Linked DNA regions of Neodiprion lecontei. Each later gene encodes a partner of the first gene's protein in a complex. Links are inferred from orthologs where the notes say so. Each region holds a gene or a part of one and is shown on either strand. Other genes may lie near its edges.

Region 1 (5,289 bases):
TACATTCAAGCATTTGCGTGATGACTTTTCGGATCTTATATCGCACATAATAATAGCGCAATGATAGAATATTGAGCTAAATATTATAGTCAATATTTCCAGACTTTCCCAAGATTAAAGATTCCATTTTCTGGTATGTATTTTCCGAGTAACTTCGATGCTTGATTGACAGTGCATTGCAGAAGAATATTTTTTCAAAACAAAAGCTTCAACGAGGATATAAATAATAATTCTTTATTTGTGTTTTAACTGAGTACAGACGCTTCGATAAATTTATACAGTACTGTTTATAATACATACAGCTTTTATTCTCTTTGTATGTTTTCTGTCTATTAATTCTCAATATTTTTTCACAAGATAGCAAACTGTTTTTAATAGGTAGACAAAAAAAAAAAATTGAATAACAATTCCAACCAAAAGAGGTCAAATGATCAAAAAATTATGAGATCGGTAAAATTTCCAGAAAATGATATTCGTTCATAAAATTCAAGATATATCTTTAGGACCGCTGGTATGTCAAGAACCATTGAAAATTCTATTCAATAGTTGGAACAAAAATATCTAGATGTTTTAATTTTGTTCAAATTACTTTTAAGGAAGACAGTAATCAAGATAGAATTTCACAAGTCTGAGTCACCATAATGAAATGAGTAGGCGATTCTGTTTTTACCTGAAGGTCGTATGACGGGCACTAGTGACAACGATCCACAAGTCAAGTTTGCTAGCTTGTATGGAAATTATTATTACATCATGGATCACAGTTAATTTTTATCTGAAGCTTAAGTGGAAAATAGAAAAAGTGAAGCGCAAGAAATTCACCTTTACTCGCAGGATCAAGTAAACAAGAAGAAATATGTCTTATGAAATTTATTGTCTCTTCAATTAGCAAAATGGGTTCTGACTAGTCCGATAATAAAACCGAGAATAGAGTCTAATTTCTGAAATGAAGTCAGGCAATAGGGCTTTGATTGATTTATAGACCCTTTGAATGTCTGGCTCAGACTAATCTCATTGACGATTATTCAATTAGTGTTCCCCACAATGAGTATTCGGCAAATTTTCCATCAAAATTAGACCAAAGCGAAATTTTACAACGCAATAATTAAGAGAGTGAAAAACAAACGAGTTTGTGCTCATTTTGAACTTGTTTCTTCGGATATCGCTGCCTGGAATTCGCTTTAATAGTTGTAATATCAAGGAAATGAAGAATCAAAGTCAATGATGAGAAGAATTATAAAAATATTGCAAGCAATCACAGTTAGATCGAAAAAGTGATAAGGATAATGAAATATGTAATATAAGTTTGAGAAATGAAGTGGAATTTATGTTAGATTGTCTTAAGTTAGATTGTATTATATCAGATTGATATGTTGTGTTAGATTGGATTAAGATAATGTTCCGATCAGACAGCAGAAGATTAATAACCAACAATTAGGGTGAAAAACGCTTAATCATTGACATTACTGTGCTACTATTTTAGCGCCAAGAGCACAAAAATCATCCAATTTCAAACAATTATTGCTGATTTTGTCTGGGAAGAGATTTTTCACGACTCTAATGTATTTTTCAGCGAGACATTGGAAATTATTCATTAACTCGATGAAAAAAAATGAGCATCGATTTGCTAAAGTTTATCGAATGACACGCTTTTGGTATTCAAGACCATGTAATTTCTCTCAAAATTTATTTGTAATTGGTGTTGGTGAATTCAGTTCGCGGTGTTTAATTTTGTTCCTAATTCAAGGTGAAACTCAATCGCACAATGAAAACTATTCCTTGGCAAACTTTTTTGCAACGACATGTTCGTTGCTAGACTTGTTGTGCATTAAACAAAAAGTTAGATCAGTATCTGTATCGTGGATGACGCAGAGTGCGAATCAGATAAGACGATCGATAAGTTATCCGTGCAGCTGTTTGAGAGCGAAACACAGAAATCTGACGTACAGCGAAGTGATATTAAAGGGTTAAAAATTGTCTCCGCAGAAAAATTAGGTGTAACCTACTAAATTTCAAGATGGAACGAATGAAGAGACGCCCACGTTAGGATAGATCAATTACCAATGCGGTATTTAGATCAGTTAGAAACTAGTTCCTCGCTAGGTGGAAAAGGTGCGACAGCGAAAGGAACAGAGACAGAGAAAAAAGGATCGGCGAGTGTTCAGTATGTACGGTAAAGGAAGTGGGTGGGCCTCGGTGTCGGAGCCGCGGGGTTATACTAACCTCTTGCGTAATCTCGAGATCGTGCCTGGCGTTTTCATAGAGCGTTTCGAGGTTGTCGCACCTCTGCTGCAGGGTTGATTTCTCCTCAAGAAGGGCGAGTCCGTACTGGGCTGATTGTACCTTCTCGGTTGATGCTAGATCAAGTTCCCTCGACAGCCTCTCGATTTCGGCCCTGAGTTCGTCGGCCGTGGCTCCGTCAGCGGCAGCCATTTCGGCGTGAATATATAAACTGATCACCTCTCCGATCGAGAATCGTCGTGTTTAACCGTTACCGCAAACTGCAACCGAGCGTTATTAATTCTAAACAAACAGCAGTGCCCGACCGCGAGATCATTATCTTGTCATATATCCCGCTCGAATCGGCCCGACTCGTCGTCGTCGTCGTCACTCGCGTATGTTTATTTATTATCAATTCAACTTGATCATCGGCGTAACGTCAGCCGTTTGACAGCGGTCAGCGGGCTAACTTCGCTTCAACACCTGACTGACCCTCGCTTTGCGCTTTGATTATGAAAATTCCACTGCCGACGACGACGACGGCGGACGGGATCAGCGCCGTCTCTTCTTCCCACCGGAAACTAGCTCTCTTCAACCAAGGTAGTCGACTCAGCGATTGATTTCCAATTCTCATATCGCGCTTTGCGCCGATCCGATCTCGTACCCCTGTCTCTTTATCGGATTTGACCCCAATTCAATTTCTCATTCCATTTGCGTCGTCTAGACTTCTGGTTTGTTGTTGCACCCCGGGGAGACCTCCCCCCCTACACGATAAAGAGTTCGTTGAAGCGGGCATTTAGGGGTGGGTGTGTCGTTGTTGCCCGATTAGATCATCGTTTCATCTCCGTATGGTACACGGAAGTTCTAAACGCCGACGAACGGCGCTTTCAGCGCCTCGTGCGGTCGTCAGAAGTTGATCGAGTGATTTGAGTACACTCTGTTTCTCTCGCTCTTCGCTGTGATTGGAGCAGAGACGGTGCTCAGCCAATCACGGCGCAGAGCGAGAGAGAGTGTACTGCGATTGCCTTAACTCGCTCCATGTATGTAACGCACCTTAAAATTGGATCACATGTTCGTTGGCGGGACTTGCAGTTTATTTCAAATGAAGGAAAGAGGTAGGGGAAAAATTGTAACTGCAATTAGTTTTTATTGATTCAAATTTATATTCCATAGCTGTGAGAAATATGTCGGAGAAACAAAATAAAGATTATACGCATTGTTGTTTTTGTTTCCTTTTGTTCTGTTTTCTTTTATGCTAGGTTGCAGTTTTATTTACACATCTATTATTTCTACAGCGTGGAGGATATCGACACATAATATTTTTTATATTATTAAGTATTTTTTTCCGTTTGTTCTTGCGTTATGTAACTAGGATATTATTACCTGTGTACCAAGTGACTTAGTTTTATTATCATTCCTATATCGGCAGAAAATCCTGTAACGAGACATTTCACTTCGAGGAATTCTTTGACCACTACTGCGGATAATAAATTTTGTACAAAAACTTCAACGATTATAAACTTCTCAACATTAAAGTATATGTTGACCGAAGATATATATCCAACGTAGTATGGATTGTATTATGTTTGAAGAAATGTTAATTTTTTTTTTCACACTTTCATTATTACGTGTGCAAATAGAACATGCATATTGTGTGAAATGGAGAAACTTTTATGTATTAAGATTGTATTAAGATATATATATATATATATATATATATATATATATATATATTCCAATGCACCATTCAATACGCAGATCGTTTTTCAGTTGATCTCATCGCATAACTAGCATTATATTTTTAAAAAAAGAAATCGCGTTCATTCTAGGAAACATTCAAGCTTAGGTGTGTTACAGCACCTAAGTATTATGGTTTGTTTAGGTGCGAAATTAGCATATCTGTGGAAATGAATATGTTTTTGGCCATGAAGTATTAATTAATTGGACTTGAGACATTCCACTTCCTAAAAAATATTCCACTATTTGATGCATTTGTTATGCCCCCAAATAGTATAGAATAAATTCTCAACATTTCAAATTGTGGAAAAGTAGAAATTACGTTACATGTATAATCCATGCAATTGTGAATAATTACTTCGCGCTACTATTGAACAGCGATGGATAAGTTTAATAGACAACACACATTTACATAAAAATAATGTGTCGTAGCTTGGAGGTGTAAAAAAAAAACCACCAATCTAGCCACGTGGTGGATAATGAAAGATTCAATTTTTCGCTTTACTCCTTTCAAAGTACGAAATATCTGGATGAGACATGTAACAGATTTCGATGTATGATTATCTAGTATGCCAAAGTGCGTTATTATGCCAAAAATTTAACGTTTGTATACACATTAACGTTATCTTATAATCGTTAGATTGTGATCATATACAAACACATATATAATATGTATATGTATTATTGTATAAATTATGTCAGTTACATTACAGAGAATCGATATCGACAGAAAACTTAATGAAAAATATTTACAAAGCTACGCAATATAAAATATTAATTATTTGTATTTTTGTTATTTTATTATTATTAGAGCTTATTCATAATAGTCTATTAACAACTCATTACTATGGCAAGCGGAAGCTTAAGATCATTTTCAATAATAAAACCACTGTACACTTAAATATTTAAAGTAAATTTAGAACTTTTTTATATAAATACGCATCTAGACAATATATATTATCAGTTGTAGATCATTGTATTATGAACTTCAGGTTTAAGCAAGTATTACGAATAACAATTCGCAAAGAGCAGAGAGGCAAATAATTGCTATATAGTTATAGTTTCAGTATTACAAGCATGTAAATCGGAAATTCACAGAGATTTTAGGTTGCGAACAAAATGATAAAAGTAAACAAGTATTAACAACAATAATAATTCGCAATTGTAAAAATAAAAATCTATTGAAAGTAAAAATAAAATTGCCTTCAAACATGTGAATGGTCCAAGTTTCATTTAATGTAATCTGACAAAAATGAAAAAAAAAAAACTGGGGTATTTTCCTCAATGCATTTTAAAAATAACGAATACACCGAATACAAGGTAAAATATAAAGTA
Region 2 (6,487 bases), on another chromosome or scaffold:
GAATGTTGTTGGAATAGTGACGCAGAAGGCTGGGGATATTTACAGAGTTGACATCGGGGCAGGGGAACTGGCATCTCTATCCTACTTGGCTTTTGAAGGAGCAACAAAAAAGAATCGACCTGACATTGTCGTAGGTGACGTGATTTTTGCCAAGCTACTGGTGGCTAGCAAAGGCATGGAACCGGAGTTGATATGCGTCGATTCTCATGGGAAGAAGGGCAAGTTAGGTGTCTTAAGTCCAGATGGGATGCTGTTTGATTGTTCCCTTAGTTTGGCGAGGAAATTGCTTCACCCAAGTTGTCAGCTGTTGACATTGCTTGCCAAAGAACAGGCCTACGAAATCGCCATAGGTATGAATGGAAAGATCTGGATGAAGGCCAGATCAGTCCACGAGACAATAGCGGCTTGCAATGCTATTTTAGCTGCGGAAAACACCCCACCAGCAGAAATGCCAGCCTTGTGTTCGAGTATCGCCCGTAATTTACTCCGAATAAGCTAAGAAAAAGACTAATTCCACAACCCTTGGTGTACATCCAGATATTTTAAGTATTTTATGAAACATGCTTTTTTTTGCAATAAAATCTTCCTTCGATATGAGTGATAATCTACTTAGATTTATTGAAAGCAATAGAGCACACAACAGTCGGCAAAAGATAGTGAGAAAGAATACTCTGTAAGTTAGAATGTAGTTTTTGGAGACAATTTTTTATTAAAGAATATAATACTTTAATACCATCATCGTTTGAGAAGATGAAGACAAAGGACGTAAACAAGGAAAGTAGATGGGCAGGGTACAATATTGAGTGGTTACTATTTTAAAATTAATTATTATTCATCACGTCTATTTGGTTGCAAGTCGTATGTGTGTGCTCTAATTTCTACACGTATTCCAAGTGTTCCTACTCATATTATAACAGTACTATCCTACTTAGTATCCTAGTATACTTCGTTTCACACCCCATTCATTGTTAAGCTACAGAAATTATGATCTCCATACACAAGTGTAATCAATATTTTTCAATTTCACAAATTTTATTGGTAATTTGCTATTAATTTACTGTATATAGTAATATTACGTTAATAATGCACGTCAAGAAGTTTGTCCAGCATTGAAAAAAAGTTGACGTTACAAATTCCAACAAACTTTCCACCGAAATTGAGAAATTAAATCTTGGTAAGAACGCGAAGAATTTAACGTCAAAAATCATTTGAGTAACAGCAGCCAGTCCAACGTTACGCTTGACCATAGATCAAAACGTTATTGGTAAAGAATATTATTATATTACCGCAATTTTCTAATTCAAATTAGTATAATCATAACGATTTCTCATTGCTGGGCAATTAATTGTAATCAAAGTATATGTATACTGGGTTCTTAAAATTTTGTTCAATTTTTTAGTGTGATGAAATAGATAATTTGAGTACAGTAGTCACAATAGGGTATAAGGTAGATTAATGGTTAATATTCAATGTGTAGTAGAATAGTATAGCATAGCAATAGTATATTATACGTGTATGTATATAAATAAAGTAATAGCGTTACGTAAATAGTAGAGCCAGGTCAACTTCAGAACTTCTCGAGCTTAGGTTTTGGATGAAGACTTGCGTTTGGACAATAATCGATGTTCCAGAAGAAACTGTCAAGCTAATTACAGGGTGAAGGATTTTAGAAGTGTATATATGGTATAGTCATTAACGTCCGTTAATGATGATCGATCAACGATCAAGCTCTAGATAATATTTACTTATTCAACGAGGCTACTGTATCTTGCATGCAATTTATTCTATCAATTGATAACATGTTTTGCATCCGCGACAAAAATATGAAGATAGAAAATCACGTCGAACAAGCGATATGTTGTAAAGAATTTGATTCAATCTGGTATTAACTGAAGTCAAAACTGGCTCTAATAATTATCATTTCATAATTTTATCATCAAGCTCAAGAGGCCTCAACAAGAGACTCTGAAACCTTACTTCACGTTTCAAATAACTGTCAGGCGGAAACTCTTCCCGCAAAACGGACTGAAATGAATGAAATTTTTCTCAGGAGTGCATTAAGATAATCGTGGTCTGTATATCCAATAATATATTGTATCACGGCGTGATAAATTTATTCAAAGCTTGATCGCAAAAATATCGAAAGCAGTCAAAGGGCTTTACATTTCGTTACTTGACCGATAGACCTATTTATTGCGCCACTAATCTGGAACTTACAATTTAGCGAACCAATCGAGTCTGCTTGTCTCTTGAAACATTTTTTTCTTACAACAATATCATTGTACACGATAAATTTCTCTATTTTCTTATGGCATACGATACCTCTTCAGAAGCCTCTTAAAGCCGTTTGTAGCCCTTTAATTTGAATACTTTATTACTGTTAAACAATATTATTACAATTACTAATTTATTATACTTTATTATAAATTAATTAAGGATCTCTTAATCGTATATGCTTATGTGTTTTTATAATAGTATGTACGATAGCTTTTCAGCAGCTTACTTCTGTGCCATCCCCATATGGAACTGGACTTTTGTTAAGTTTCAGTAATTTCAGAAACTGGGTGACTAGCGGCATTCCCAAACCTTTACCGTCTGATCCACGCTACCGCTTACCACGTATGGATGGCTCTTGTGAAAATCTACAATACAAAAGATGATGTATATCATGCCTCCATTCTCATAGCGGCTGAAGGGCTAGCCCACTTATTGCAATATTCCCTCGAGTATTTAATTAAAAAGCGGAGAAAACCAAAAAACTCACCAACAGACGTGCAGAAGTGCATGTGTGCCTCAAGCGTCTTCATTGACCGTTTGTTGCGGGTGTCCCATACCCGCAGCGTCTTATCGTCTGATGCACTGACTATATATTTACCACCTGGGTGGAACACTATTCCACGTACCCAGTTATCATGCCCTTGGAGAGTGAATAGACATACCCCAGCCCCAACGTCCCACACGCGTATTGTCTTGTCTCGGGATCCAGATGCCAGGAAGGGTCCCTCGTGTGCCCCTTTATTGTCTGCTCCAGCTGCAGCGTTGATCGCTCCACGCGATGTTTCCGGGGCCCACGCGATACATTCCACAACATGATCGTGGTCCCTCAGTTCGACCTGTAAGGAACCAAGTATAGTTTATATCATGTTATTCATAGGATTGATTATTTACTGGATAAAAATTAATGGAGGGTACAATTAAGGAGCATTTTTAGTACCTTGGTTTCTTTAGTTGCAACGTGCCATACCCTGACAGTCTGGTCGTTTGAGCAGCTTGCAATCAGTTCGCCGCAAGGACTCACCCGTGCCATACGGACCCATTCTCTGTGCCCCGCAAGCGTTTTTACACAATAACCAGTAGCAACCTATGACCAAACAAATTGGTGATATTAAATCGTTTGTCACATACAATCCTTTCTCTAAAAGAAATATCAAGAGAAATACCATAACTGCTTTTCAGTGTGAATTTTGCACCCTACTCCTTACCTCCCACATTTTTATGGTCTTGTCCCGTGACGCGCTGACAATAAAGTCTCCTTGCGGCATGAATGCTACCGAACTAACGTTGTGGTCATGCCCGTGCATCGTCTTGATGCAGGCAAATGACTGTTGAAAGTCCCACAGCTTGATTGACATGTCAGCGCTGCAGGATACCAAGAGCTTTCCAGTAGTATCGAATGCAATATCTTGAACACTGTCCGTGTGGCCTTTGAGTGTTCGCTCAAATTCTCCGCTTTCGAAATCCCACACCTAGGGAATATTAATAATTCAAATTCTGCGGGTATACATGAGATATACACGTGGGAGTTGTACAATTGAGGAGGTTCATAATCAAATATATTTACATGTGACAATTTTACACGGTATTGTTAGCCAAGAATGATCAAGGAGATCCTACTTGCACATGCCATGTTAAATTGTATTGAAACTCACCTTTAGCGTGGCGTCTTCACTGGCAGAAACCATAAGGCTGAATACTGGGTGGAAAATTACTCTGTTTACAGGCGCCCTATGCCCAGAGAGACAGAACTTTTCAGGTGGCCTCGGAATCCATTCGGTCGGTGATCTCTTACCCCTAGTAGGCGCTCCCTCAATAAATTCTTTTTCTGCCTCTGATAGTTTCGACTCGAGTTCCATGACCTATAAATATGAAATAACATTGGTGGATTTTATCATGTAACATGTATGACCCAAGGTATCCAATTGATGTGAATGGGTATGACATGCATACCTTTTTTTGTAGTCTTATGACTGAAGTCCACTTCTTCTCGAGCAACCCACCGTATTTCCGCTCCACCTCACCAGGCATGTCAGCTTCCTTCTTGAACGCTTCCAGGGCATCTTGATATCCGTTGCTACTCAGATAGTCTGCAATCGCCTTGTTTCTGCAACGTAAATGATTTTTTATTCATTTAACAACTTATCTTGTTCCATATAAATCACAGTAAACTTTTGATCGTACCTGTAGAGCATATACTCATGCAATGAATTGGCAATTTCCACCATCTAGTCTAGTAGGTTGTTGAAAAGGACTGGGGTATTTCAAGTGAATTTTCAATCAACATTATTGAAGTGTTTTATGAGCAACATAAGCATGGAGAATCTGTAACTTTTGTCTATGTATAGCAAAAAGTTCAGTTCTCTTCTCAAAACAATCTACATGAGTGCATTTTTTGTGAGTAGCGGATATTTTTTGGAAAAGTATAATTTCGTAACAAAAATGTTATACTTTCTGATAATATGTATTGTATACTTGGTGATAATTCCAGTTTTGAGCTCGGCACAAGTAAATTTTATGAATGGAAGGATTTCGCGGAATCGAAATTTCCTTACATTTCATTACACAGTATATTTAAAATTTGAGTAAAAAAAAGTTGAATATTTCTATTGATTGGCAAAATCTGAAACCATACAGGATGCAAAACTCTTGTCTATCATACCAAACGGTAAAAAGGACAATTCTCTTATACCAAAACCCTAACTTCAAACCTAAGTTGGGTAAGGGGTCGAGTTCTGAACGAATCGTCGAAAATACATCGATACTTCGAACCGTGTGTAACGTAAAATACATTGACGATAACAGAAATGTACTATAGATACGCGTGAAATGAAAGTGAGAAAATTCTGACGGGATTAACAAAGGTTGATGAATTCCCGAAGAGATGGAATCAAAATCGAGATAATTACAAAGTTCTACTTGAACGCGCGTTTCCCGAATTATTTGGTTTTCCGTCGTGTTCCTACATGCTTCGAAACCCTTAGGAGTGCGGCGAAAAACACCGCCTAGCGCCTTCACAATCGATCTTTCTTTAAATTCTGCAGCATCAATGAGCAAGCCAAGCATCGTAGTATAATTCCGGTCTATAGGCGGTAAGCACCGGCAGGAAAGGTTGAGGGTGACGTCAGTCAGGGTGGGCGGGTCGAAAGCCACCACGCGGATACGCGGCCGGCGTCGGCGCGAGCGACGGCAGAGGGATGAAGGGGAGCGTGTTATTGATCCCTTTCAGGATCGCATCCCTCCGTGACGCCCGCGCACGACTGAATAATAACGCGTAGCCGCCGACTGGATGAACAGACGAATGATGACTATAAAAACCGTTCCAGCGAGATACCGAGATACATAGAGACTTACAACTCCTCCCGCTGACGTTGAGACAAGACCATTTTCATGATCCTCGGATGACCTGGATAATCCTTAGTAACTCGGGTGCAGATCTGGGCTTCAAGGACCTCACCGCAAGCTTCGGGGCTCCTCCAGCCTCGACTCAGTACTCTGCCGCGGACGTCATCATCTGCAAGCAGATAATGAAGTAGCGTCGGTTGTAATGAGAAAATCACAGCGTCCCCCCTCTTGCAACTCTGTCACGTCGTCCGTTTTTCGGTTCTTCTCCTAGAGCGATGATGGTATAAGTTTTCAATTCGAAGTAATCAATTTGTATCGCTCGTTTAATTGTTTAACAGGTGTAAATATATTTAACGAGCAATCCAATAAGAGCGCGAACGACGCACGCCGCGTAAATTACACCCGGCATTAGCCGTGCAATTCAACTTGAATCACGCAGTTCATTTTATATACACGTAAAATAATATCCATTGATACTTTCACCTGTATCTCGTGTCCTCGACCACCATCAGACTATCGACCATCGCCGTCAATTCATAAATTAAAACCGAATGAGTAGAGTAACCGGGAAGGTGGGACAAAAGCGCTATTCGGCGTCACCGATTCTTCTTACGTCATGCAAGAATTTTAGCAGCGAACGGAACGATTTCTGTACTGCTGGCACACGTTTCGCACGTGTGCGTGCCGTTTAACTTTTCTCAAGTCTCGGAAGCGCGACCATTATATCTTATGTCCAATGCCCACGTGCTGAAGGCAGGCATTCGTAAGTGCGTAATATGAAGTTATAAAATGTGAAAAAATGTCTCACAAAGGAGGACCGGATACAATTTTCACCAACAAAAAATCTTGGTTTTTGTATACCATAATT

What was found.
Region 2: protein bicaudal D (region 1) and lissencephaly-1 homolog share a complex: the UniProt entries of both Caenorhabditis elegans proteins name them as parts of the dynein-regulating complex. The link is inferred for Neodiprion lecontei from reciprocal best matches to the Caenorhabditis elegans genes bicd-1 and lis-1.

What each region holds. Positions count from the first base shown.
Region 1 is NC_060260.1:37,767,617-37,772,905, reverse strand, and holds the start of protein bicaudal D, read right to left. Parts: upstream 3,019-5,289; 5' UTR 2,431-3,018; coding exon 2,221-2,430; intron 1-2,220. UniProt on the Caenorhabditis elegans protein: Part of a complex with dlc-1 and egal-1, which is recruited to the nuclear envelope by unc-83, where in turn, it recruits dynein to the nuclear surface and regulates nuclear migration in hypodermal precursor cells.
Region 2 is NC_060264.1:3,214,581-3,221,067, forward strand, and holds lissencephaly-1 homolog, read right to left. Parts: upstream 4,518-6,487; 5' UTR 4,503-4,517; coding exon 4,459-4,502; intron 4,382-4,458; coding exon 4,228-4,381; intron 4,137-4,227; coding exon 3,930-4,136; intron 3,747-3,929; coding exon 3,483-3,746; intron 3,362-3,482; coding exon 3,215-3,361; intron 3,114-3,214; coding exon 2,765-3,113; intron 2,643-2,764; coding exon 2,569-2,642; 3' UTR 812-2,568; downstream 1-811. Other genes in the region: exosome complex component RRP40, read left to right, coding at 1-499. UniProt on the Caenorhabditis elegans protein: Positively regulates the activity of the minus-end directed microtubule motor protein dynein. May enhance dynein-mediated microtubule sliding by targeting dynein to the microtubule plus end.